Oryzias latipes: one gene and its partners. The protein of the gene in region 2 interacts with the protein of the main gene of each other region in a biochemical or structural test. Links are inferred from orthologs where the notes say so. Each region holds a gene or a part of one and is shown on either strand. Other genes may lie near its edges.

Region 1 (7,695 bases), on a different chromosome or scaffold from region 2:
CCAGAGATTAGCACGAGCTCAGGCTTGGCACCAGCTGGACAAGAGCCTGGAAGGAGAAAAGTAGATAGTACTTGAGGCAAAAAAAAATAAAAATAAAAAGCGGTTGATCTAGGACTGCATGGTGGATTGCTTCGTACACCCTACTTGTCTTGTTTTTTAAAGCTTCAACAGAATCCTATGAGTGCTGTGGGAAAGCCCGTGTAGAAACCCCCAAGATGTAAATGAAAAAAAAAAATCCCTCAAGTGAATTTCTCAGAACGGACTTGAGAAATCCATATTGTTTTTCTACGACTGACTCTCCTTTGCTTCCTCTGTGAGAATGTGGCTTTTGGTGTCTGACATGTGCGGAGAAACCGGCACAGGAAGCGTTGTGCTGAGCGGTTGCTTTGGGTGGGCAAAAAAAAATGAGAAAGCAAGAAAAAAAAAACCAAGTAACTGTAAACATCTCTTGAGTGTCCCACCCTGCTTAGCGTGTGTCTAGACTGGACTCGTACAGTCATAACAGGGGATTGGGAGAGCAAACAAGGCTGTTTGGCGTAGTTAACCATTAGTGTATGGAGTAACAGTCTCAAAGCAAAACCTCGACATTTAATTGGGGTAAAACAAGGAGCTCACAGAGCAGCGTACAATTACAAGATATACGAGGAGACAGAGTTGATTGTGCGCCAGAATGCTGAACGTGCCACACACCAGAAGATCATCTCACCAGATTGGCACAGAGCAAAGGACCTGCAACCGTCACAAGGCACGGTGCCAAGGCCGTTGGCCTACTTATGAGCCATTCTCTTGTCAGCGTCAAGCCAAGAAAAGCAAACACACAAATACATCCCCTTAAACTAGCGCTTGGTATGCGATAGGAAACGTTTGAGCAAATGTGTTTCAGTTTGGATCATCAATGATCATGCGACTGCACTTCAGCGCATCAGCCATCAGCACAAGTGGACAACGGAGCCAAGGGAGCTGCTTTAAGAGGCAGGCTGGCTGAAAAAGTGAGCAATCAGCTAACACTATTTTTACCACACTGCGCTCATTGCCTCCACCCTTTTTTACACATGATGCTGCTAAAGATGCCCGTGTTGACAATATGGAGATGACATTCCCCACATGACCTCAATCAAGCATTTTCACAGCCTGGAGGCACAAAACAATTTAACAAACTCAGCCACCGCTGAGGAACTCTTCATCCTCGTTTCATAAACAAAAGCAGTTCTAATAGAGAGGTCCTTTTTCTGTTGGTAAAACTATTTTAGATCAGATATTATGAGTCAGTAACACTTTGTAGACCATTTACAGTGCTGCAAAAGCGAATATTGGTAAAATGTTGTTTTTTTTCCTAGCCTAAGCTGTAAATATTTGGATTACATTAGTCCTTCTTATCTCCTTTCATGTCAAACGAATGTCATTTGCTCAGCTAATATTTGACAAACTGTAAATCTAATTTGCATATCACATCCTGACGCGTCAGATCTGATATAAGCTGACGAGTAATGCACCGTTTCTGCAAACCAGCAGAGAACGGTAATTAACACCTTTATGTCAATCCCTCTCTCAGCAGAGGCACAAAGCTTTCAGAGTGGAAAGGTTGACTGCCAGCAGAACTGAATGAGATCTCAAAAAGGGTAAAAAAAAAAAATCATAAATATTGCAGCTGGTTAAACATCACTCCACGCTTACAAAGAGAACCGAAGTTTCCTTTCACCTGCAGATTAGGCACAAGCCGGCTCTTCGCCGCCTGAGGGAAAAGCTATGCAATGAATGGAAAAGCAGGTCACACTTCTATCCAAGCTCTTCTTTTTTATTGATCCTCAATCCTCCCCCCCCACCCCTTCACAATGACCCCCTTCCTCCCCTCCAATCTTGACCACAAACAAATGGCACAACATAAACAACCAATAAATAAAAAATCTGCATGATTAAGGCAGTTCTACATCTCCATTAGAACACAACAGTGCGGAAATGTCCGAGTTATACAACTTCATACAGTAAAGCAGTAGATCTTTTTTTTTTTTTTGAGAAGAAACACATCTAAAAAAGGCAACACTTTAGGAAAAAGTGAACCATTTTTGTTTGGATGACTTTGTGATAAAAAATAAAAACTAAAAGAAAACAAGGCTAGTTCAGATAGGACTGTTATTTGAGCTCATTTCAATACTAACCCAAACAGAATTGGGGGGGGGGGGGGGCTTGTTAGCAGAGAACTTGTATATATACGATTTCTCCCCAAAGCTACTCTCAGAAAAGATAACAAAACCACTTAGATCCCAAAACACATGAGGTGGCTCTTCCTTATATCAGTTTTCTTGGATAGGAATAAATAAATACACCTTTTGACTGTAAAACTGTCCAGACTTAGAGGCTACATAGTGTCATAGAATTATTCAGCGTAGCTTTTAACAGTTTCAGCATTTCTTTATTACATTCGTTTCCAGGAACTATGAGAAAAGGAACTTGGCCACAAAAAGACGCAGGAGACTCGAGCATTTTGTGCGTTCACTCTGGAGATCCGGAGTTCTTCTCTGTGCACTCTGCTCTCCAACTTTCACTCCGTTGTACAGGTCCCTGCTCTCGACGTAAAAGCCAAAAAGAGATCATCTCTTCCTCCATCCTGGATTTGTGACCCTCTTCTTCTTGGTTTGTCCCCCCATTTTACAAAATAAAAGTCCTTTTAGCAACTGACTGTGCTGGGTTGCTGTTTGCTGACAAAGTCTGAGATAAAGTCAAACTCGTTCTGGCCCAGGAAGAGTTCTGGCAGCTCCTGGACCCTGTCCAAGCCCAGCTCCATGACCAGTGACGTCAGGACATCTTCGTCAATCATGTCTGCATCCATGCCGTTCAAGGCCAGAGCTGGACCGGCCATGTGCTGCATGCTGGCTAGCTGAGCCTGGCTCATGCGATACTGGGTTGTTTGTCCCATGTGGTTCACGCTCATAGGAGCCAGTGGATGTCCATGATACTGCGTGTTGAGTTTCTGCAACTGCATGCTAGCCATGAGTTGCTGAGATGTTAGCCCCCCATTCATGAACTGCTGCTGCTGCTGCTGTTGCTGCTGGGGGTGCTGGGCTTGCTGCTGGTGCTGCTGTGGATGAATGTGATGCTGCTGCTGTTGAGGGTGGTGCTGTTGCTGAGGCTGCCCGTTGTACATCATGTTGTTGGAGGTCATCTGATGGTGTCCCATCTGAGCTCCGTTCAGCTGTCCATTCATGGGCCCGCCCACCATTCCTTGCCGCTGCCTCATGGCATTCTCCATGTTGGCCTGAGCGCCTCCATAGTGCATCATCTGCCCATTGGGCATCGCCCGCATGCCCTGCTGGTTGGCGTGCTGCTGGTGACCTGCCTGCAGGCTGCCATTCATGCCCATCCTATAACCGTGGAGACTGGCGCCTGCTGAGCTGTGATTCATGGGCATCATCAGATGATCTGCCATGCCTCCTGTGTGTCCAGAAGAAACACAATTAGGTCAATGTCCAACTTCTGCAGAAAAAACATATTTACCAGGGTGAGCTGTCTTCTTTAGTAAACTTCAATAAAATAAAATATAGAAAGTTTGAAACGTTGTTTTCTCTCTTCGTGCTGCTGAAATCGTCTTTGGAACCAAACATCTGCAGGGTTGTGATACCTCCTGGCGAACACTAGAAACCCTCGCCAGTGTGTTGAGTCTTCCTGAACCCTCCCCTCATTGTGCCAGAGCATGAACGCCCAGCGTGAGATTACAGGTTCCATGCATGCATTGTTTGTGTACATTTTGACGCGTAAATTTACGCACGGCGAGAAATGACCAACCACCCCCTCTCCCCTCCCAAATAAATAAATAAAAATTAAACATCCGCCAGCATCCTGGAAATGTACCCGCGGCGGTTCCCTGACAGCTGAGGCAGAAATATCCAACATTTTCCGCTGCAACAAAGAACACTGACATCATGCAACATCAACCCCGCAGCTGAATTCCAACAATTGAATCCACACTCCCGATTTTACTTATTAAATAAACGGGATCGTTTGGATTCGGTGGTGTCCCCGCAGGACGATGAGTGGGATTTTTTTAAAGCAAGGTTCCGCAAACAATGGAGCAGCAGCAGGAGCCCCTGAGACCACCGCGGAGCAATACGTCTCCAAAAAAAAAGGCAACCAAAATCACTCACCCGTGTCGTTTTTACAAAGTTACGCGACTTTGCTTCACCTCGCGCTTTCTCCACACAAACGTCCTCCACGGAGGGGTGAAGCTCCTCTGAATTAGGGTTTATATTCCACGGGGGTCTGCTTCATGCTCAGGCGGGGACGGTGCGCACTACGACCGCCGCGTCAGATCTTGAAACGACTGCCTATTTTCTGGGTCAACTCAGGGATTATGTACATCTAAAAAGCTCTGAGGAAGGCAGTCAGGGAGGGGTGGAGCTTCGGCCCTGCCTCTCCTTTGTTCCTATTGGCCCTACTTAATACAATTGTGCATGGGCGTAAAGGAAAAGGGGCCGTTGGAGGGTTGGAGCGCAAAGTTAATTTTAATTACTTGTTTCAAAATAGAACATTTGAAACGTATCCAAATATGTCAGCATGACTAATACATTTTTTTCTCATGGAGTAGACATTTTGCCAGATTGTCTGAATACACTCATGTTCTCATTGCACATGCATTACAAGGTTATTACCTTGGAATTTGCACTTGCAAAGTCGCTGTGATACCTGTCTGCAAATGCAGCCCACCAGTCTGCAGTCCTCTGTGATTCCTTGTAAGCAACGCAGTGGAATGTGGCCTCTCCAGCTGCAAGTGCAGCTCCTGCTGTGCATGTGTGCTTATTCACCTTATTTACTTGTGGAACCGTGCATGTATCTCCATGCGTGTGTGTGTGTGTGTGTGTGTGTACATCTGTGTGCACCCACTGTTCACTCTTGTCTAGATTGGCCACTTCAGGACAATGACTTCTTACCCATTAATGAATGCATCCACTTTGGGGGAGCAAGCTGATCTATTGTCAGAGTACCAGGCAGTTGTGATTGTGAGACATTGTCCAAAAGCAAATGTTTAAAAGTCACTCCCTGTTGAGAAAACTTTTGAAAAAAGAAAAAAAAAACTGAGCTAGTCAGTCAGCGCAAACAAAACCCAGAATCAACAGAAGTTTGTGCTGGGATCAGCAATCTTTTTGTAGAACCAAGAGAGTGCACGACTGCACAAGCTCGAGGTAATATAACAGTGAAGCACTTTAGAATGCATTAAAACAGCCTTTATTTTCATCCCAGGGCCAATCTTCCTAATGGCGTGCCTTGCATCTGGAGCTCACCAATCAAATCCCAGCATCTGCTTAAAATACAGAGATATTTGCATAAAACCCCAATCAGCCATGATTATGGCTGAAAATATAGAATATAATTATGCTTCCATTCCAGCTTGTGTTTTTTTTTTATTAGGTAAAATGTCTGTTAGTCTGTCCTTTTAAAACTCTTTCTTTTTTAGATTTATTCTCATGTCTGGCTGTGCTCACTGCTATAGGGGAAAGTCGTCGCAAACCTTCTTTAGGCTTTTATTGATTTTCATCCTTACTTTAGTGTGTGCATGTGGGGCTGCATGTCAGCAAGAAAGAACACACAAGAGTTCATGTGACTGTGTGTGTAGGTGCAATAGGCTTTAAGTATTTAAAGCTAATCTGCACCACACTGTAAAGCATGCATTATGCTCTTCTGGGTTTGCAGGAGCAAAAGACTTCAGACCTGTAAGATATTAACTCACCCAGACAAAACAAAGCAAGGAAATATGCAGAATGTAGTTGTCAGTTTAGGCAGTCGAGAAACTGATTGTTTGGCTAGCAATGCTGGATTTCCTTTTTAGCATAAAATAAATATTAGTAAATAATTGGGAAAGAGGAGTTCTTTTCTACCGTCATCCCTAAAACTCTATAACCATGGAGTCCAAGTCGAGAAGTTTATGTTTGTTTTTTTGAAAGCACTTTTTTTTAGAACAAACTTCAATGGTGCAAAAAGTTAACAAAATTCCACATTATTAAACGTCTTTTTTATTTCTTCTTAGGTAAGGCGATTAGGTAATTTAACGTAAAAGTGCACATGTAACTTTGGAGCCACCTTTTTTTTAAATTAATTTTTGTTTTTTCTTCCTAAAGTCCCTCTCTGATCATCCGTCTATCCGTCTGTACGGTTTTGAGCCAGATGCCAACTAAGACGAGGAAAACAAAGACGTACGTGGATTGATTTGTCTGCCAGGGGATTTATCAGAATGGAGCGGAGCAGGGGGCTTGTGGCCTGCCCAGTGTATTATCATACTGTATTTTTTGTCTGCTCCTGTTTTACAATAGTTTGAATAAAGAAATACTAAGATAAGCAATTTTAGGCTTAATTATTTTATGTCCTCCATCGTCAGCAAAATGCTTGCAACTTTATAAATAATCTTAATGTTTGGTTTTTTGTAAATTACACTTTCAAACTATTAAATAAAAGAGTGACTTTAGTCCTGTCAGGAGTTTTTGTTGTGGTTTTTGTAATCCAGATTGAGAAAGATGTAAGAATATTATTGCACTCAATTGAATTTCTAAAGAGTAGCTCTGACAGCTAATGATATGTGCATTTATCCATTTTTTCACACATATATGGAGGTCAAATCTGACCAGAGGAATGCAGACTCAGATTGAGTTGAAATGTGGTTTGATGTGTAAAACATCAGTTATGATTACATTTCCTGTAGATGTCCCAATTTGCATGTCAATCTACCATGACTTGTGAACAAGCCTCATAGATGTTAAATTTCCTCCAGATAACACAGCACCTGATTCCCTAAACGAAGAAGAAAGTCCACCATTTTTGACTGAATAGTATGACCTCAGACTTGAAGGAGCCAATTCTCATTCCAACTGGTTCAAACTTGTAGCAAACATCCAAGGTGCCTTCTGGAAATTTTCACTCGACGAAGGGACCATTAACGGAGAGACGGAATTTTGTGCTGATGTACCGTAAAAAACATTTCTTACCCCCACCTCATTCCCTTTTCTATCCATAAAAATGCTTAGAACTATTAATGGACAATGTCCGATGAATTGTGTATTATCAGTTATTAGCGGAGAATGCAGAAGCCAACACCATCCCCTTCTTATTGTCGAACACTCCAGAAAGAAATATGTATTCAATCATCTTTTATTAAATTTCTCTGTTTATTTTTGGTTCTTTTTTTTCTACACAAAGCATGCTACTTGATATGTTGGACAGCACTTTGTCAGAGATAAAGTTCACCTCTTACCACTTCTTTTTTGTGTGCCAAAAACAAATCGAAATTTTGAAGAGAAATCACCCATTTGGGGTCTGGAATATAAAAGTTTGTTTCAAAGAAAAATTTTTTAAAGTTTAAACAGTTCAGCTGTTCTTTATGTCTTATTTTCTCCTTTTAGATCCTTGTCCCCCTTTCTCCTCTCCTTCAAAATGACCAAATTAACCAAATAGGTAAAAGTAAACTATAAAATCACTGGTCTTTTCTACCGTCTTGCTGTTGTAATAAACCGTGGAATAAGGTATGGCAACCTATGTTTTTTATTTTTATTATTTGTGAAGAAAATGTTAATAACACAAACTTGCGTTTAGGCTAGCACACAGATATAGAACATTTGGGTTATGTGTCCGAAACTTCTTTTTTAGGTGTGGTATAACTTATTTTAATCCACATCCAGCTGCTAATCATAATGGAGTATTTACCCGGACCATGGT
Region 2 (7,755 bases):
GATTACTAATATAGGAAGCCAATTATCATGTTGATGTGCAGATAGACGAACTCGGGTTAAAAAAAGATGAAAAATGGATTACAAACAGAAAGAAAAAAAAATCGTCTCACATCTCAGCTGCAGAGGTCTAATTCAACCTGACACAACGCTTTTGAACAACAGGCCTCCTTATGTTGCATCACCAACAGCATAAATCTCAGGGTTAGGGACAAAAAATACATTTTAAAAAGAAATAACCAAACAAGCTTGATCAAAGCAAACTAAATATAAATAAAATTGCATTTCGGGATATGAGCCTGTCACTTTTCCATATCCAGTTTCTGATTCCCTCCCTAAATGACAGTTTATCATCTTGCACACTCGGTCTGCGCTCCATCCAGCAATCCCAGCTTCCATTTTAGATTTGGCCATGCTGCGTGATTGCAGCTATTGCCTCCTAAGTGCCATCATCGTCTATGGGCCTGTACCTTTGACCATCCAAAGCACGAGCCGACAAAGCTCCCCAGCTCCACTCATCTCCCCGCTGCGCCGAAACGCTGACAATAAATTCCATCAGCGAGGGGGAGAAAAGGTGCAGCCAGTTTGATGCACTTGGAAACCATGTAATGAAAAATAGGCTACTGCGTATTAGGATCAGTCAGGCATTACCGCATCGGGTTCTTTCAAGCAGAATAGGGAACGGAGTGTGTGTTGTTGGTGTATCTAAGACGTGTGCAGCTTGGAAAAAAAAACATGCATGATATCTCAGAGGAAATATCTTACCTTTTTTAATTACAGTCTGGTCTGGAATGTGAATTCCTTGATCCTCAGGCTGTGACACAAAAACATCAAATCAATTTTTGGTGCGCAAAGCCACGAAAAGTCAGCCATACTTGTGCGTAAAGGCATCTCAGGACGAACAAAGCCAAACACAATTAGCAGCCAATGTTTCCCGTTTTCTCTGGGCCAATTTCTCTTATTATTGTCCACCGGTGCTTTTCAGCGGGTGGACGTGCAGACTTAAATAACGAAGCAGTGTCGTCCCATAATCCTGACCCAATTTCGCCTTTAGATTGGCTCTTCTCATAAGGAAACCTCTAATCTAGATTGGATAGTAATTACGCCAGCGCAGCCTATTAAAGGCCTATGAACTAATTAGAGAATTATTGGTGTTTGTTTCTGATTAAACACTGGGAGGGGAAAAAAAGAAAGAGGCTTATTGACAATATCAGAGCAGCACAACTCAATACAGTAAACTCGATTTTCTTGTTAGAAAGCATGTAATGTATTACAACGCTGTTGTTCGCGTGGAAGCTGCACTTTGTGAAACGCTGAGCTCTAATACAAAATGACATACTTAGAAAATCCAACGAAAATCGACTTTAACATGACCAATTCCATTTGTTTAGCTATAAAATAATATCAAAATCATCCAAACTGACAAGCATTCCGTTTTAAAATTAAATAAAATTAAAAAAAATATTTTTAGTTTAATAGAAATGGCATTTTTTTGAAAAAAATAGTTAATTAAAATAATTTATTCGTGCTCTGTTAGAAAAAATTTCCATTAAAAAAACTTAAATATGATAATACATATTTTAATTCAGATGCAGGCGTGTTGCAGGATAAATTAATACCACAATGAAAGATATGGTGTTGTGTAATAGACTTTTTAAAAAAATCAACAAAAATAAATGAATAAAAAAGAAGAAGGAGCGCAGCCTCACCTGAACGTCATCTAAAGGGTGAGGTATTCCATGGATTTGGATAGAGTCCGACAGTCCTGTATCGATGCCGTGGCCGGACGGTAGAAGCACTTCCCTGCGGTACTCCCGGCACAACTGGTGTGGCAGGCTGCGGTGCTGGTGCAGCAGGCCGCTCTCCTGGCCCTGCCTCTGCCCCGGCCAGCCCGGGTGCTGCGACTGCGGCTGGGCGTGCAGGGAGTTCAGGGAGTAAGGGTCGTTGACGTGCGAGTACGGGTCCTGAGACTGCGGGTAGATGGGCTGGTAGGGCGGTGGGAAGTACGGGGGCTGGAAGTCTGAGTTCGGCGTGTGGGAGAGTGGAGGGGCGCTCGTGTACGGACTCTGGCCCACGCCGCCCAGCTGAGGTAGCCTGGCTGTCCCATTGCTGGTGCCGTCGTGACGGTCCTGGCAGGTGGGGACAGAACAAAAGGATGTTTTTAGTCGAGATGAATTTTAAATGAATTTGGTTTGATGCTGTTTGGATGCTCTGCGGGCTTTTTTATCAGAGATTATGACCTGGAAGTATGAGCATTAGTAGATTTTTTTACAGACAAATATCAAAATTTAATTTGCAAAGAAAACACATTTCCTAAGAATTAGTGGCCCTAAAAGACTCAAATACAACAATATATTTTTTAGAAATCAATTTACATCTGAGAACAAATCAATGGGTGTAGATAAATCCAAATTTCTATACATTTTTTTAGATTATTCTGAATTTTTTTACTTTAAAGATAAAATTTATAAAATAAAATGTTTTTGAAAACGCAAAAAATACAGTGAAGCTCCAGAAACTTACCATCGCGGAAAAACTGTGCACTAACATCTGTAAGGGTTTTTTTGGTGCGCCTCAACAGAAAGAGAAAAACCCAGCAGCAATCAGGTCAAAAACACGGACTTCGCGGGGCAAAATCAGCCAGCAAAAGAAAGGAGAAAAAAGCCCCCCGAGAAGACTCTTCTCTCCTGCACGATCGCGATGGCCCCGGAGATCAGATATGTGCCTCAACAGCAGGACGATAATCCATCAGAAGTAAAAGGTAAGATCCGAGGCGCCCCTCATTTGCGTCTACAAAATCAGGAGGGGTGTAAAAATAAAAAAATAATAAAAAAAATAATAAAAAGACGCGGCGCTGCTGGTGGATTTGGGCTAAAAAAGTTTCTCTTGGCAGCCCCTCTCTTCTCTGCGTTCCCCCGGCTTCTATCACAGTGCTACCGTCCCCTCGCTTGAGCTCATATTAGCCAAAAGAGCCGCTTCTCCCTCTTGGACTCCTAATGGAACGCATTCGTGACCATTAATATTACAGGAATCCTAAATAATAAGGAAAGAATGGTCGGAAATCTGGCGTGAAGCAGAGGACGCAACTCAAGGCAGGAGTCTACGCTTAAATGACGTCCATTGAAAGGAGGAATCAGTATATCTAATCAGGGATGGGGAGGGAGAGAGAAAGAGGGAGAGGGGAGTGGAGACAAAAAAGAGGGACATTCACTCGCCTGGCGAATCAGAGAGAGGGGGAGGAGGAGGAGGGAGCGCATTTGGAAATAGTTCCAGGGCCAAAGCGCAAAAGTGAAAGAAAGACAGGAATGAAAGGAGGCAGACGGAGCGAGAGGAGGAAATAATGTGCACCTCTGAAGTTGGTGAAAATCCGGCAGGAGAAGCACCGATCGACTCATTCCGACCGTCTGCCCCTTTGTTTTCTGCCTCAGACACGGAGCCGTCCTCCATGGTTCTCTCCTGCTTTCGATTCCACTGATTTTAATCCAACCAGTTCTTCTTCGGCTCTAAGTCACGGAACAGCGCGGGCAAGCTTTAACTTTAACCCGGAAAGACGAGGGAAAACAAAATTACGCTCTAAGATCGGTCCGTTGGATCAGGCGCATTAACGAACTTTTAACGCACGGCTTCCAAAGATTCACTTCCTTCCTTATCTCCAAAATCACCTAACAATGAGCCATTACCAGACTTCAAATGCTAATCTAAACATTATTTTGATCAAAGGAGGAAATAACAAAAAATAAGTAAATAAAAATATGTTCACACAAACGTCAATTTATTTTCTGTTTGATCAGCTCTGTCCGTTCCCATGTAAGACGCGAGTGCGTACAAGAACCCCACAAAAAATAAAAAAAAACTCGTTTGACTGGCTTCTCCACCCTCAAACAAGCCACCGATATGTCTGCTAAACTTTGACTATGTCCAAAACAATGATCAGGCAATGTGCGCTGCGCACAAAGATGCACGCAGACACTTCACACGCACATTTTCACAAGTCCAACTCGCATAGTGAAGGGGACATGTGGATGTCATTTAATCATTAAATAAAACTGACTGCACCAAGCTTTTACGCGCGTAACTCCTTTAAAATGGTAAGTGCATGTTAACATTTGTATGTATGCACGTGTCATTATTTAAATATGAAGTAATTTGTACTAAAAAACGAACATTGTTTTTATTAGTAATACTTTTTATTGTGTTTTTAATATTTTATAATTTATATAAATCAATGAAAAATCTATTTTGTAATTTCTGCATTTAATAAGTTTGATTTAGAAAAGTGAAACACCTTTTTTTAAATTTTACTTTAAAAAAATGCAGACAAAATTCTAAAATAATTGGAAAAGTTGTTCTTACCTCGCAATCTTCATACTTAATGTTATCAGTTAATTTCCAGAGCATTTTCATGGGACGTTGAGGTGGCTTTTGAGTATCACCTTAGTCTTGTTTTCACTCGGTGAATTGTGCTCCCCCGCTCAGAAAAAACTACTTTTATTGAAGCTGCGAGCTGCTGTCTGTCTCGCGCTCTGAGGTCTCCCTCTAATGGTGAAAGTGAAGGGCTGGAGCAGTTCTGGAACAACGCTGGCATAAGGGCCTCATTAGCATATCAACAGCAGTTCTGATTCCCCCTCATCTGCACGCACAAACACCACTGGACAGGTAAAAGTCTCCAGCTCCTTTGTTGTTTCTGCTGCGCGGTGAGGTGTGTTCGCCCGTGGAAGGGAGGGGATGTGGAAACCTGCACCTGGGACTGTCGTTTTGTATCTTAACATATAGCAAATATTTTTTTATTTATTTAAATTATTCAAGAAAAATGTGGATAAATCCTTAAGGCCACATTTAAAGAAATACATTTCAATTGCTGGATTTGCTCTGAAGTTAATCACCCAAATTTCACGTTGATCATTTATTTGTTACTCCCCCTTAAACTGATGTGTTATTTTAATCCCATTGAGTTGAGATCTTCACAGGCTTTCCTGACAATGTTATGTAAAAGAAAAAGTCAGCTTTTCCAACTACAGGTCCATTGACTACCTGTAAGGTAGCGAGGTTTTGGGTAGGAGGGGGGTGTCAATAATTAACACAACAACAAGGCCTTGTTTCATTTGAATGAGCGGCCGGGGGGGAGCCTGGCTCTGCCCTGTCGCCGGTCGAGCCTGCACCTCAGCAGGTCGTGGGTCAGCAGACAGGTCGCCAGCTCTGCAAAGGCGTTGGCTCTTTCTTGCCTGAAACCCAGATTACCATTTTTGGTGGAGTAACTCTTTTTTTTTCTTCTTCTTCCCTTCTCAGTCAGTTGTTATTAATGAGTCTGAGGCGATGAAAGCGATTGACCGAATGAAACCAGAAACGATTCTTGGGTTGTTTCAGCTTCTCACTTGACAGAAATACAAGGACAGTTGTTTGGTAAAATCTGCAGATTCAGACCGGAGAGGTCAGATATCCGTGTGCGCACCGGACCTGGGGCAGCCAGGAATTAAAGGCGAAAAGTTACATTTGCGTCTGGATACAAACTCAAACCTGCAAATTATAATTTAAAAACTAAACAATTTCAGTTCAATTCAATTTTATTTATATAGTCCAATACTAAAACAATAGTCGTCTCAATGGGCTTCATACCGGTAATTGAATAATAAACATGAAATCATAAAGAACATGAAGTAATAGAATTCAATAATGGCTAAACTAAACAGACTGGGCTAAACTGGGAAAAGAAAAAAAATTCAAAAGATAAAAAATATTTTTCAGTCCTTCCTACCAAGCATTATTAATTAATCAGCGAAATTTGTTTTTTAAATGTTTTCTTGGATCAAATTCTTGCTGATTTTCACAGATAAAGCAACTTTAACACTCTCAAATGATAGATCATTTTCTTTTTTCTGAAGAGATCTCTCACATCCAGCTCCGTGTTCAAACAAGCAAACAAGTTGACAGTTCATATAGATTTGTTCAGTTTTTTCTTCTTGTCTTGAAAGTGAAGTCACACATACCTGCCATTCCCCTATTTCCCCCATAATTGACATTCTTTGTCTTCTTCTGCGTTTTCTGTTTTGTATTGAGCTGCTCCTCTCATTAAGCCTCCGGTCCCAAAGTAAACCTTTACTTTTCACCTAGAACCAATCGTCTTACCTGTCCATGAAAGAAAAGAAAAAAATGGTGCGGGGCATACCTGGTGACGCATGCGCAATCCAAACCGGGTGTGGATACATAAAAAATAAAAAATAAATACAACTAAAGTGGCGTACCTGAGGAAAAGTGAAAAAGGCCCTGTGGGTCTGCTTTTCTGACTCACAGCCTATAATCTTTTTATTGCAGCACTTTTTAAATCAGAAAAGCAAATGAATAATGCCATACATTTGCAGATACATTAGAAATGAGTGTTGTTGTTGGTTAATTTAATTTACAATGATAATGTATTGGAAAACATTTAAAATACACTAAAAATAAGGTGAAACAAAATCATAAATATTTCAATTTAATAGGGATAAAACTGAAAATTTACGTATATATTTAATTGTCCATACATTATGAAAGTAAAGCATGAACTCTTACTGCAAATGAATGTGTCGACTTAAAAAAAGAAATAAAAACTTGAAGGTTACCTCTCAGCATCAGCTCCTACAGGAAGATGCTCTGCTTTTGTTGGGGATCATTTTTTATTTATCAACTGTTTATTTCTAATACATACTTACCTCAGGCCAAGAGCGAATGAGCTCTACCCCTCTCATCCGCGCACTTTACACGCACACGTGAAGCTGAGCAACATGTGCGCGTGCACATAGGTGACATCCGTGAAAGCTTCTTTTAGTCCAAAAAACTTTTCTTTTTTTTGTCCATTGAGGTTTTTGAAGAAAAGCACAGAGAAACAGACACAAAGATGGCTACAGCAGCGAGCACGATGATCCCGCTGCTGTCACATGAATGAAATCCTCGCAGCATTGTAGTTTTAAAATTAATACTCCGATTTCAACTTTTTGTTTGTTTTTATCTCCCCTTTTTTTTCCCTACACATGCAGAATTCCGCGAGGAGTCAATAGATTTTCTTCTTTTCGGTGTTAATATTTAAAAACAAGCCTTTAAGTTTGACTTCAAAGGCAAGCTGTGTTTTAACTGCGCGCAGTACCTGCAGCCATAAGGACCTGGACAAAGAAGAGCTTTCACAGGAGGGGAGGTGTGTGTGCGTGTATGTGTGTGCGTGTGGTGGGGGGCAGAATTATTGTTTGGGGCTCTACGCAGGGCAGTTGTAAGTTTTGAAGTAGAACTGTTTCTCAGGGAACTGCGCAGTCCTGCTTGAATATGCTGCCTTTCTATGGGGGTTCAGTTTCAGCCACTTCCACCACAACTCAGCACAGCAATAGGCCTCCGGCATATTCCAGAAACCACATGCTGACCCCTGAAAACTCCCGTATTATTATTATTATTATTATTATTATTATTATTATTATTATTATTATTATTATTATTATTATTATTATTATTATTATTATTATCATTATTATTATTATTATTATTATTATTATTATTACTTGTCTTCACTCCTTGCCCCTCAAGGATCTTTGTCATGTCACTTCCTCTCCAGAGTAAAAAAAAAGGAAAAATAAAAAGATAAACTTCAAAATCAGAATTCAATTACAGGAGTTTGAGTCCACGCAGCTTTATGACTGCTATAAATTGTGTTCTTGCGCCACCTTTCTCCCTTCAGAGGAACAGCATGAAGGACGACTTACTGTCTGAAGATTCAATGCGCTACAGGAAAAAATAAAA
Region 3 (7,552 bases), on a different chromosome or scaffold from region 2:
TGAATTCCACCATTAAAAAAAATAAAATCGATTAAAAACTACAACTCCCAGAGCCCCACCCATTCACATTTGGTATCACTGAGAAAAGCCCCAGATGTTCTCTGTAGATACCAAAAGGAGTTACTTCAGTGGTTGGGGATATTCAAGTACAGAAATGTCCTCTAAAGAGGACAAATTTGCACTGCTGACAGTCAGGAGGTTAAGAAAAGCCTTAAAATTCAGACAATATAATAAAAATAAAATATCCACTTTTTCTTACAACAAACCCTTGATGCCAGACTAACTTCTTTTTCCAAAAGAAGAAACTTCTGAACTGCAGAACTGGAGCAAATCTATTAGATCTTGTTCACAACAGAATCCTCCAAAAGAGCAAAATGGTCCTTTCAAACAGTTTCTTTGTCTCAGAAACATTTGCCCTAATTTCCTCAGCTTCTCGTCGAGTGCCGAGACTGTCCTCTTTGAGAGCTACACAGAGTGCACATCAATGTTTTATGACCCCTGTCCCTTAATATGGCCCACACAGAAGAAGATGAATGAGCACACATTAGTTACTAGACTAACTTTCTCTTGGCATCCTGCATTATTTAAGGACCGATCTATTAAAAGTAATCAGCGGCTTCAAACTCTTTAACTTCTCCTTTTGGTTGTCACTTCTTCTTCTGCTTTTTTCCTGCGTGCCCTGCTCGACCGGATGTGTCTGAACGCGGCACACATGGTTATGCCAGTGTAATTGTTTTGCTTTCTGCTGTCAGCCATTATCCTAATTCACACAAAAGGGCCCCTCCTTCCACTGGCTTCAGTGGAAAGTGGAGCCCGGAGGGCGAGTGTACGCTGAGGCGGCTGGGAGTGTGGGAGAAGCAGTGTGTGTGCGTTGGTGTGTGTTTGTGTGTGTGATCAAGAGTGGGAAAGAAACAGCAAGAGACAGAAAGAGGGAGACAAGAAGAGAGAAAGAAAGAGCAAAGGAGCATGTGTGAAAAAGAGAGAAGAGGGAAAGAGCGCTCCAACCGACACCGATATCCGGCCTTTTTCTGTGAAAACACTGTTTGGATGCTCTGACGTTGCTCTATGCGGCATGTGCGCGGCGCCCTGTGAGCCCGCTCTTTCAATAACTTCTTTGTTAAAAATAAAGCCATGGAAAGAGAAAGAAAGATTGCAGAAAAAGCATACATAGTGATGGAAATGGCACTTAATCAAACAAACAAGCAAAAAAAAAAATCAGAGGTGACCTAAGATAACCTTTGGTGGCCAGAACGTCTGATCCAAATCAACTTAAATCCTTCCTATGAGTTAAACTCACTTTTCTCATGGTGTGTTGGTATCAAAGCCAGAGCTGTCAGGGATTTCCCGTCAGTGGACGATCAAGATTTTATTACTAGTGGAATACATGGACTGTTTCCTGTAGCCAGTTTGGCTGATTTTCTTATGTTCGTTTACTTTGGCCCACATGGGATTCACTGTAATATCATGAATGATACATTAGACATGAACGCTTCAGGGAGATAATGCAATTCAGCCGGGACAGAAGTTTGAGATTTCTTCTTCTTTTGAGAATATATGTGGACAAAAAAAGGATTTCTTTGAAAAAGGTATGATTTGGGATTTTTATCAATCAGGATCATAAAATCTCACAACTGGAGGTCGATCAGAATGATGGGGACTTTTCTGTCACATTGTAAAGAATCAAAAGTCTTTATAATTCTAACAGGACAGGAGGTCAGTTTTAAACTAATTTAAATACAAAATAAGGAATATGTCCCCAAAATAAAGAAGATGTTCAAGAGAAAAAAGTGCTTAAAGCTGGAGCTGAAAAGAAAGTCAATATGTAACCCGCCAATGAACTGGACTTCAATCACATTTGAAGCTGTCCTACAGCAGATGTGATGAAATGATTTCAAATCTTTACATCATTGTTTTTTTCTCCAAGGATTCCTCACAGCACTCAGATCCACTGACAACAAAAAAAGTTGAAAAACTTGCGAAAGGATTGGAGTTCATTGCAAAAAAAAAAAAAAAAGAATAAAAATTCCATATACTGTAAATTCCCACAAAGACTTTCAGAGCCTTCAGCAGAGAAACATGTGCAGCAGTTGAAATCTTAATTTACACCTCTGGAAGGATGCATAAAAGCCTGCAAGCTGTTTATCAACAAACTTTAGTCACTAATAAATCAAAAACTATCATAACTTTAGATCTTGGAAAGTGGAGATTAAGAGAACATTGTGGTCTGCAAGAAGGGATTTGGGATATAGGATAACTGTGGGATTGCCTTCATTTTTAATGCTTCATTTAAACATATTTATAATAATAATAAATACAATAGAGTGTGAAAGAAAGTCGTCCTACCTGGAGTCCGGGTACTTGGTGAGGGTCGCCAGGCTGCTGGTGTACATGTGTCCCCCGACGTCGATGTGCACGGGGGCGTTCGCTTTGGTCAGCTGAGCCGGCAGAGGGATCCCCTGGGCGGCCAGAGGAGAGACCGGGGACCGGGTCAGAGACAGTCGTGACATGCTTCTTCCCTCCTGAAAGCAGGTGTAGAGGAAAGCCATGGGAATGCAAGTCAAGGATGAGGAGGGGAAAAAAAAGTCTGAACTGTGATTCTAGACAGGGAAGTAGATGGTATCCTCTCTGAATGGCATCAGATCACTTCCATGTCTGTCTGGTCGCATATTTAGCCTGGAAATTATTGTCACCGCTCTAATTAAGTATGTTTGCATCTTTTCATGCAGGACCGCAGGCGAGGATAGGAGGATGCTTATTAGAGAACATGGGTGAGAGAGAGGGAGATGGGAAGGGAGAGGAGGTGAGGGCGGGGGTGGGCGATGCTAGGTGTCAGCCTCCAGGGAGATAAAATAAACTGCTACTGCAATATTCTAATTAAAGGTCGCCTTATGTGTTAGACGTGATGCGCCCAGACACGCCAAGCTCCAATCTGTGAGCGGGAAGAGAGGGCGCAACTTTCCTCCGCAACGCACACAAATACCCCCAAACACACTCAGACACTCAAGGATTAGGTGTTCTCCCGTCGTGTGACTACGCTGAGAACGATTGCATGGGCTCCAAACGTGCGCACATTTGGAGTTTGTGCAATCGTCCTTAGCGCGTGCACTCCAAACGTGGGTAAAAACGCACCGGAGCTCAGAGACAAAAACGAGCGCGTTGCCACAGGCCAAAACAATAAGTGCTCTTCTCCGTGAACCTCCTCTCCCATACTCCAATAACCCAACGTGCTGCTGCTCTGGGGTCACCGGGAACACTCAGAAATCCGCGATGAGCTTGTTTCGTCTAACTGGTTGTGTTTTTGCAAAACAATTTTTATAACTATTTGAGCTCATACGTCCATCCTGCAGGTGCGTAATTTTAGCCAACAGAGATTATACGTCCACTACTACCTGAATTTGGCCTCAGATTTCCAAATTAAACTCCACTTAATTTAAAACCATGATAACAGACACAGATCCACCTTAGAAACATTTTTTGGTCAAAACTAAGCAAAAAGCAAACATTTTCACAAGTAAGGCTGTTTTAGAAAATGTGGGCTTATTTACTTAAGTGATGGCATTTGTGAAAGTACAGATGACGCCCGCGGCGCTGAGAGAGGAGCCACAGGGCTCAAAGTGGGGCTTTTCCCCTCTACTTCCTCAGAGTGGTATCGTGTTCTTTTAAAGTGATTACAGGCAGGAGGGATTACATTTCAAATCCCATGAAAACTGTAATAAAAAAGGGAAATGAAAAAAACTTAGAGGAGCTCAAATAAAGTTTTGGTCACAAACACACCCGGGTCCGTCCCACCGTCGGTGCGCCTTTCTGCCCCCTCTAGCCCACACAACCAGTTCATCAAAAAACACACACACAAAGCACATTCGTGTATTTGAATGCATCACTGTCCTTAAAAAACTGCATCACTATTTCTGCCATTTCTCCATGAGCCCCCTCCCTCACAGACGCACCAGGAACACGGGCAATGAATCACACAATAAAACACATTCCGCCACAAAATCTGATATAAAGGCATCAACTTTATCTCCACAGCCTCTGACCCTGTCTGCCCCCTTCACTCCTGATCAATGAAATCCACACAGTTCCCCCCGTGAAAAGGCAGTACTAATCATTATGACAAAACAAACATAAAAGGTCCGTTCCGCTCGTCGAACGGCACCAGCCCGCTCTGTCTCTTGTCTAATCTAAAAAAAAGCTCAATATGGCGTCTTATTCCCGCTGTAAGGGAAAAAAAAACAGTCCCACATGTGTAACTTAAAGCTAAACGTGTGAAAATCGTTCAGCAGAGGATAAGGAGACCCCCGTAAGGTCCAGCGAAAGCCCGGACAGTCCTCTTCAACTGTTCTCCTAAAATCCCTGCGGAGCAGCCTGCGCTCTGCGTAAAAACCAGTGATTTCTGTGATAATAAGCAGCCACCCTACCGTTTCAAACATTGTAGGGAGTCCAGATGAAATCCGTGCCGGCGGTCAGTCGCAGCTGCTGTCCGCGTTTAACCCTCAATTTTTTCTCCAAACGAGTTTCTGTCAAAACTACGCCGCCATCCAGCTCCAACACGAGCCTATAGCCTCTGCTGCACGAAAAAATATTCCGTCCGAATCCCGCAGAAAGTAGCTTTCTATAAGACACTGGGATGTGGCCGGGATCGACTGCTTTCAAAGAGTCTCTGTAGCTTTAAAGGCTCTATCGCAAGGCTGGCTCGACCTGTCCTCACCAAGCGTCTTTGTACCAAAGCGCACAGGAAGCGTCCTTACCTTGAACATAGATGAGATGATCTCCTTCCCCTTCTCTGCTCTTATTTGGATACGCGTAAAATGTGCGCTCTTGCCGGAGTCCTGCTTCGTTTTTCTGCCTCTTGTCTGTCTTTTTTGCCTAAATGAAACTGCCCCTGTGGTTTGTTATGAGAGGAAGAAAGCCAATAATCCTTCTCTAAATAACAGAGCGGAGCTAAAAAAGAAAATTCTTGCTCCGGGCTGCCCAGGCGCCTCTGGGCCAGGGATTAGGCTACAATTAGCTCAACTCCACTCTCTCGCCCTGGCAATTTTCTCAAGGAAGAGAACGTGATACTCCCCTATTCCAGAAATTATGGCTACACAGATACAATAAGTTTTTTTTGGCTTTTTAGGGCAAAAGTAGACCGCTCATTCTGAAGGTTCAAAGTTAGGATTCTGAGGGGGGCGGGAGCCTGATAGGCATCTATTAGTTGCCAGATTTAGATGTAGATTTTAATGATTGACATTTCTTCTCATAATTCCAAAGCAGTCCGGTTAGAAGGAATGCATCTTCAGCCTGAATTTGAAGTTTAGGCAGCCATATCCTTCACTCAGGCGGCGGATCACAAAAGGCGCAATAACTTGTTGATAAAGTCGTAGTCAAAGAAAAAATATATGTTTAAAAAAAAAAGGAAAAATCCATGAGTATCTTAAACGTGGGGCTTTTTCTCCGTCGTGCCCTCGCTCTCTTCTCCTCTCCCTCTATCCTTTGCCTTAATGTCTGGAGTTGCACCGCCAAATTTCCTGCAGGCCATTAAAAATCAAATGACGTCTATGGACATGCATGCATGCTGCTGCAGAAAGCGCCCTCACAACCTGCCTGCAGCCAAATGCGCCATTTCAATTATAGCGCAGGGCTTAGATGGAGATATCTGTACAGAGCACCCCCCCCCCCCCCCAATCCACCTCCTCCTCCTCCTCTCCCTCCTCCTCCTCACTCCCCGGTGAAAGCAGGCAGCCTCCGGACTTTTGGAGAGGAAGATTGTGGCATGATTATTGTTATTTTCTAGCAGCAGGGCGACACAATGCAAGCGGCGCGGCGCACAAGTGTTGCGCCACTTTTGCAGAGGGGAGAAGCAGGTGCTCACACCGAGGAGACATTATTTATTTATTTGAGTGTTTGTTTATTTGCGGGTAAATAACTGTGAATAATTGATGCAACATTGAGCCCGGTAATTATCCTGTACCGGCTTCGTGAGAGAGGCCTGACGCTCGTTTCTTGGCATTTGGCGCCAACCAGTGTAGGAACTTGTTATTGGTCCATAGCTTTTACATGGCTCTTTTTGGTTATTTGGTAAAATTATTGACTGCATTTTTTATGCATATGCAAGTTTTTCTTTCTTATGTTGCACTTTTAACCTTTTTTTCTTTTTCTTTCAGGGCATTGATCAGGCCCGGATTTAGCCAGCCTCTCTATGGGGTGCAAGTAGAATATCAGGGGACGAGTCAAGTGCTGGAAGTTTGGGGTGTCATATCACTAAGTCCTTAAAATGCACAGAAAACCACACTGTCACATATCAGTCCATCTATCCACATATGTATCTTCTCCTTTGACATATTTACTTTTTCACAAGGTTTATATTGAATGCCCTTCCTGACACTATACCCTCTGCAATTTCCAGACTTGGGACAGGCACAAGCAGGACACTGGTCTTCGGTGCCCTTTTGAGGCTGCATTTATTTTCTTTTTATGTTAGTCTATCTTTATGTCGTCCACACATTTTTTTTTCTTTCATTTTATTTTTATTTTCTGTTTTTTTAGAGGTTTTTTTGTGTTTATTTTTGTGAGTTTTTTTGTGGTTAATTGAAGATTATTGTGGGCCATCACGTTTTGGGAGGTATATTGCATTGAGGGGCCACTCCCCCCTATGCCATGCCTAGATCCGGCTTTGATATTGGTCCTCATGTGTCCATTTTTCCATTGAAGTATCGATTTTCAACCATTGAAATTGCTTGAAGTCACCCAGTTAAAAAAATACTCCTGATATTTACCAGCAGAGATGGATGGGAGTGTGAGGACGTGTCTCTCCTTGAAGCAGGGCAAGTTTTCATAATTAGAGAGACCCCTGCGTGCCTCAGAGCGCTCCCATCTTCCCCCCTGGCAGAGATTTGTTGTTACCAGGGGTCCAAACTGGAGGGGAAACTAGATTTTTTTTCTCATTAAAGGAAACAAGCCTGGAGTTAGTTCAATTACATGAAGTATGCAGGGATGTTGTAAATTTAAAGATTTAAATAGCTTACAAAGTGGCCCCGGGCCCCATCAGTTAATTTCCTTAATTTATGGATTTTATCAGTGTCTGTGTGGAAGAAGTAGGTCATCACGCAAATTTGCATGGAGCTTCCAGTTTAGCTAAGAATCAGAGGTTTGCCCCCCTGACCTGCACCTCTGCAGGTATTGGACCGAACCCCACCTGCACATGGGTCCTGATTAAAATGACCCCCCCCCCCCCCTCTAAAGATCAAGAATGCTTATCTTGATTGCATTTTTTGACCCAGGTAATAAGATTATTGATGTCTGGTGTCTGTGATGCAGCGGAGTAAAAGATAACAGCTCTGTTCTAGTTTTTTTTTTTCCAAAGGATTATTCCGCTACATTTCTGCACAGTTTGAAATGTTTGCTGGCTTGACATGTAGAAACCCAGATATCTGCTTGATTTTAAATCCAAACCCACATGGAGGTCTCACATAGAGTCAGAATTTCCCTCTCCTGGTTGTAGTAACTGCTAATGAAATGTATGAATTAATGTATGACCTTATCCGGATGAAAACTGTGCCTCTAGGTTCAA

Evidence for each region. The genes of interacting proteins can lie anywhere in the genome.
Region 1: the proteins of tfap2a (region 2) and cbp/p300-interacting transactivator 3 form a complex in vitro, tested with the Homo sapiens proteins (2 studies listed by BioGRID, with this or other methods). The link is inferred for Oryzias latipes from reciprocal best matches to the Homo sapiens genes TFAP2A and CITED2.
Region 3: the proteins of tfap2a (region 2) and kctd15 form a complex in vitro, tested with the Homo sapiens proteins (2 studies listed by BioGRID, with this or other methods). The link is inferred for Oryzias latipes from reciprocal best matches to the Homo sapiens genes TFAP2A and KCTD15.

The regions. Positions count from the first base shown.
Region 1 is NC_019874.2:22,627,954-22,635,648, reverse strand, and holds cbp/p300-interacting transactivator 3, read right to left. Parts: upstream 4,357-7,695; 5' UTR 4,140-4,356; intron 3,430-4,139; 5' UTR 3,425-3,429; coding exon 2,666-3,424; 3' UTR 1,998-2,665; downstream 1-1,997. UniProt on the Homo sapiens protein: Transcriptional coactivator of the p300/CBP-mediated transcription complex. Acts as a bridge, linking TFAP2 transcription factors and the p300/CBP transcriptional coactivator complex in order to stimulate TFAP2-mediated transcriptional activation.
Region 2 is NC_019878.2:13,124,149-13,131,903, forward strand, and holds the start of tfap2a (transcription factor AP-2-alpha), read right to left. Parts: upstream 4,638-7,755; 5' UTR 4,402-4,637; coding exon 4,351-4,401; intron 3,161-4,350; exon of another isoform or gene 2,548-3,160; coding exon of another isoform or gene 2,521-2,547; intron 2,127-2,520; coding exon 1,707-2,126; intron 812-1,706; coding exon 763-811; intron 1-762.
Region 3 is NC_019861.2:30,681,577-30,689,128, forward strand, and holds the start of kctd15 (BTB/POZ domain-containing protein KCTD15), read right to left. Parts: upstream 4,357-7,552; 5' UTR 2,547-4,356; coding exon 2,344-2,546; intron 1-2,343. UniProt on the Homo sapiens protein: During embryonic development, it is involved in neural crest formation. Inhibits AP2 transcriptional activity by interaction with its activation domain.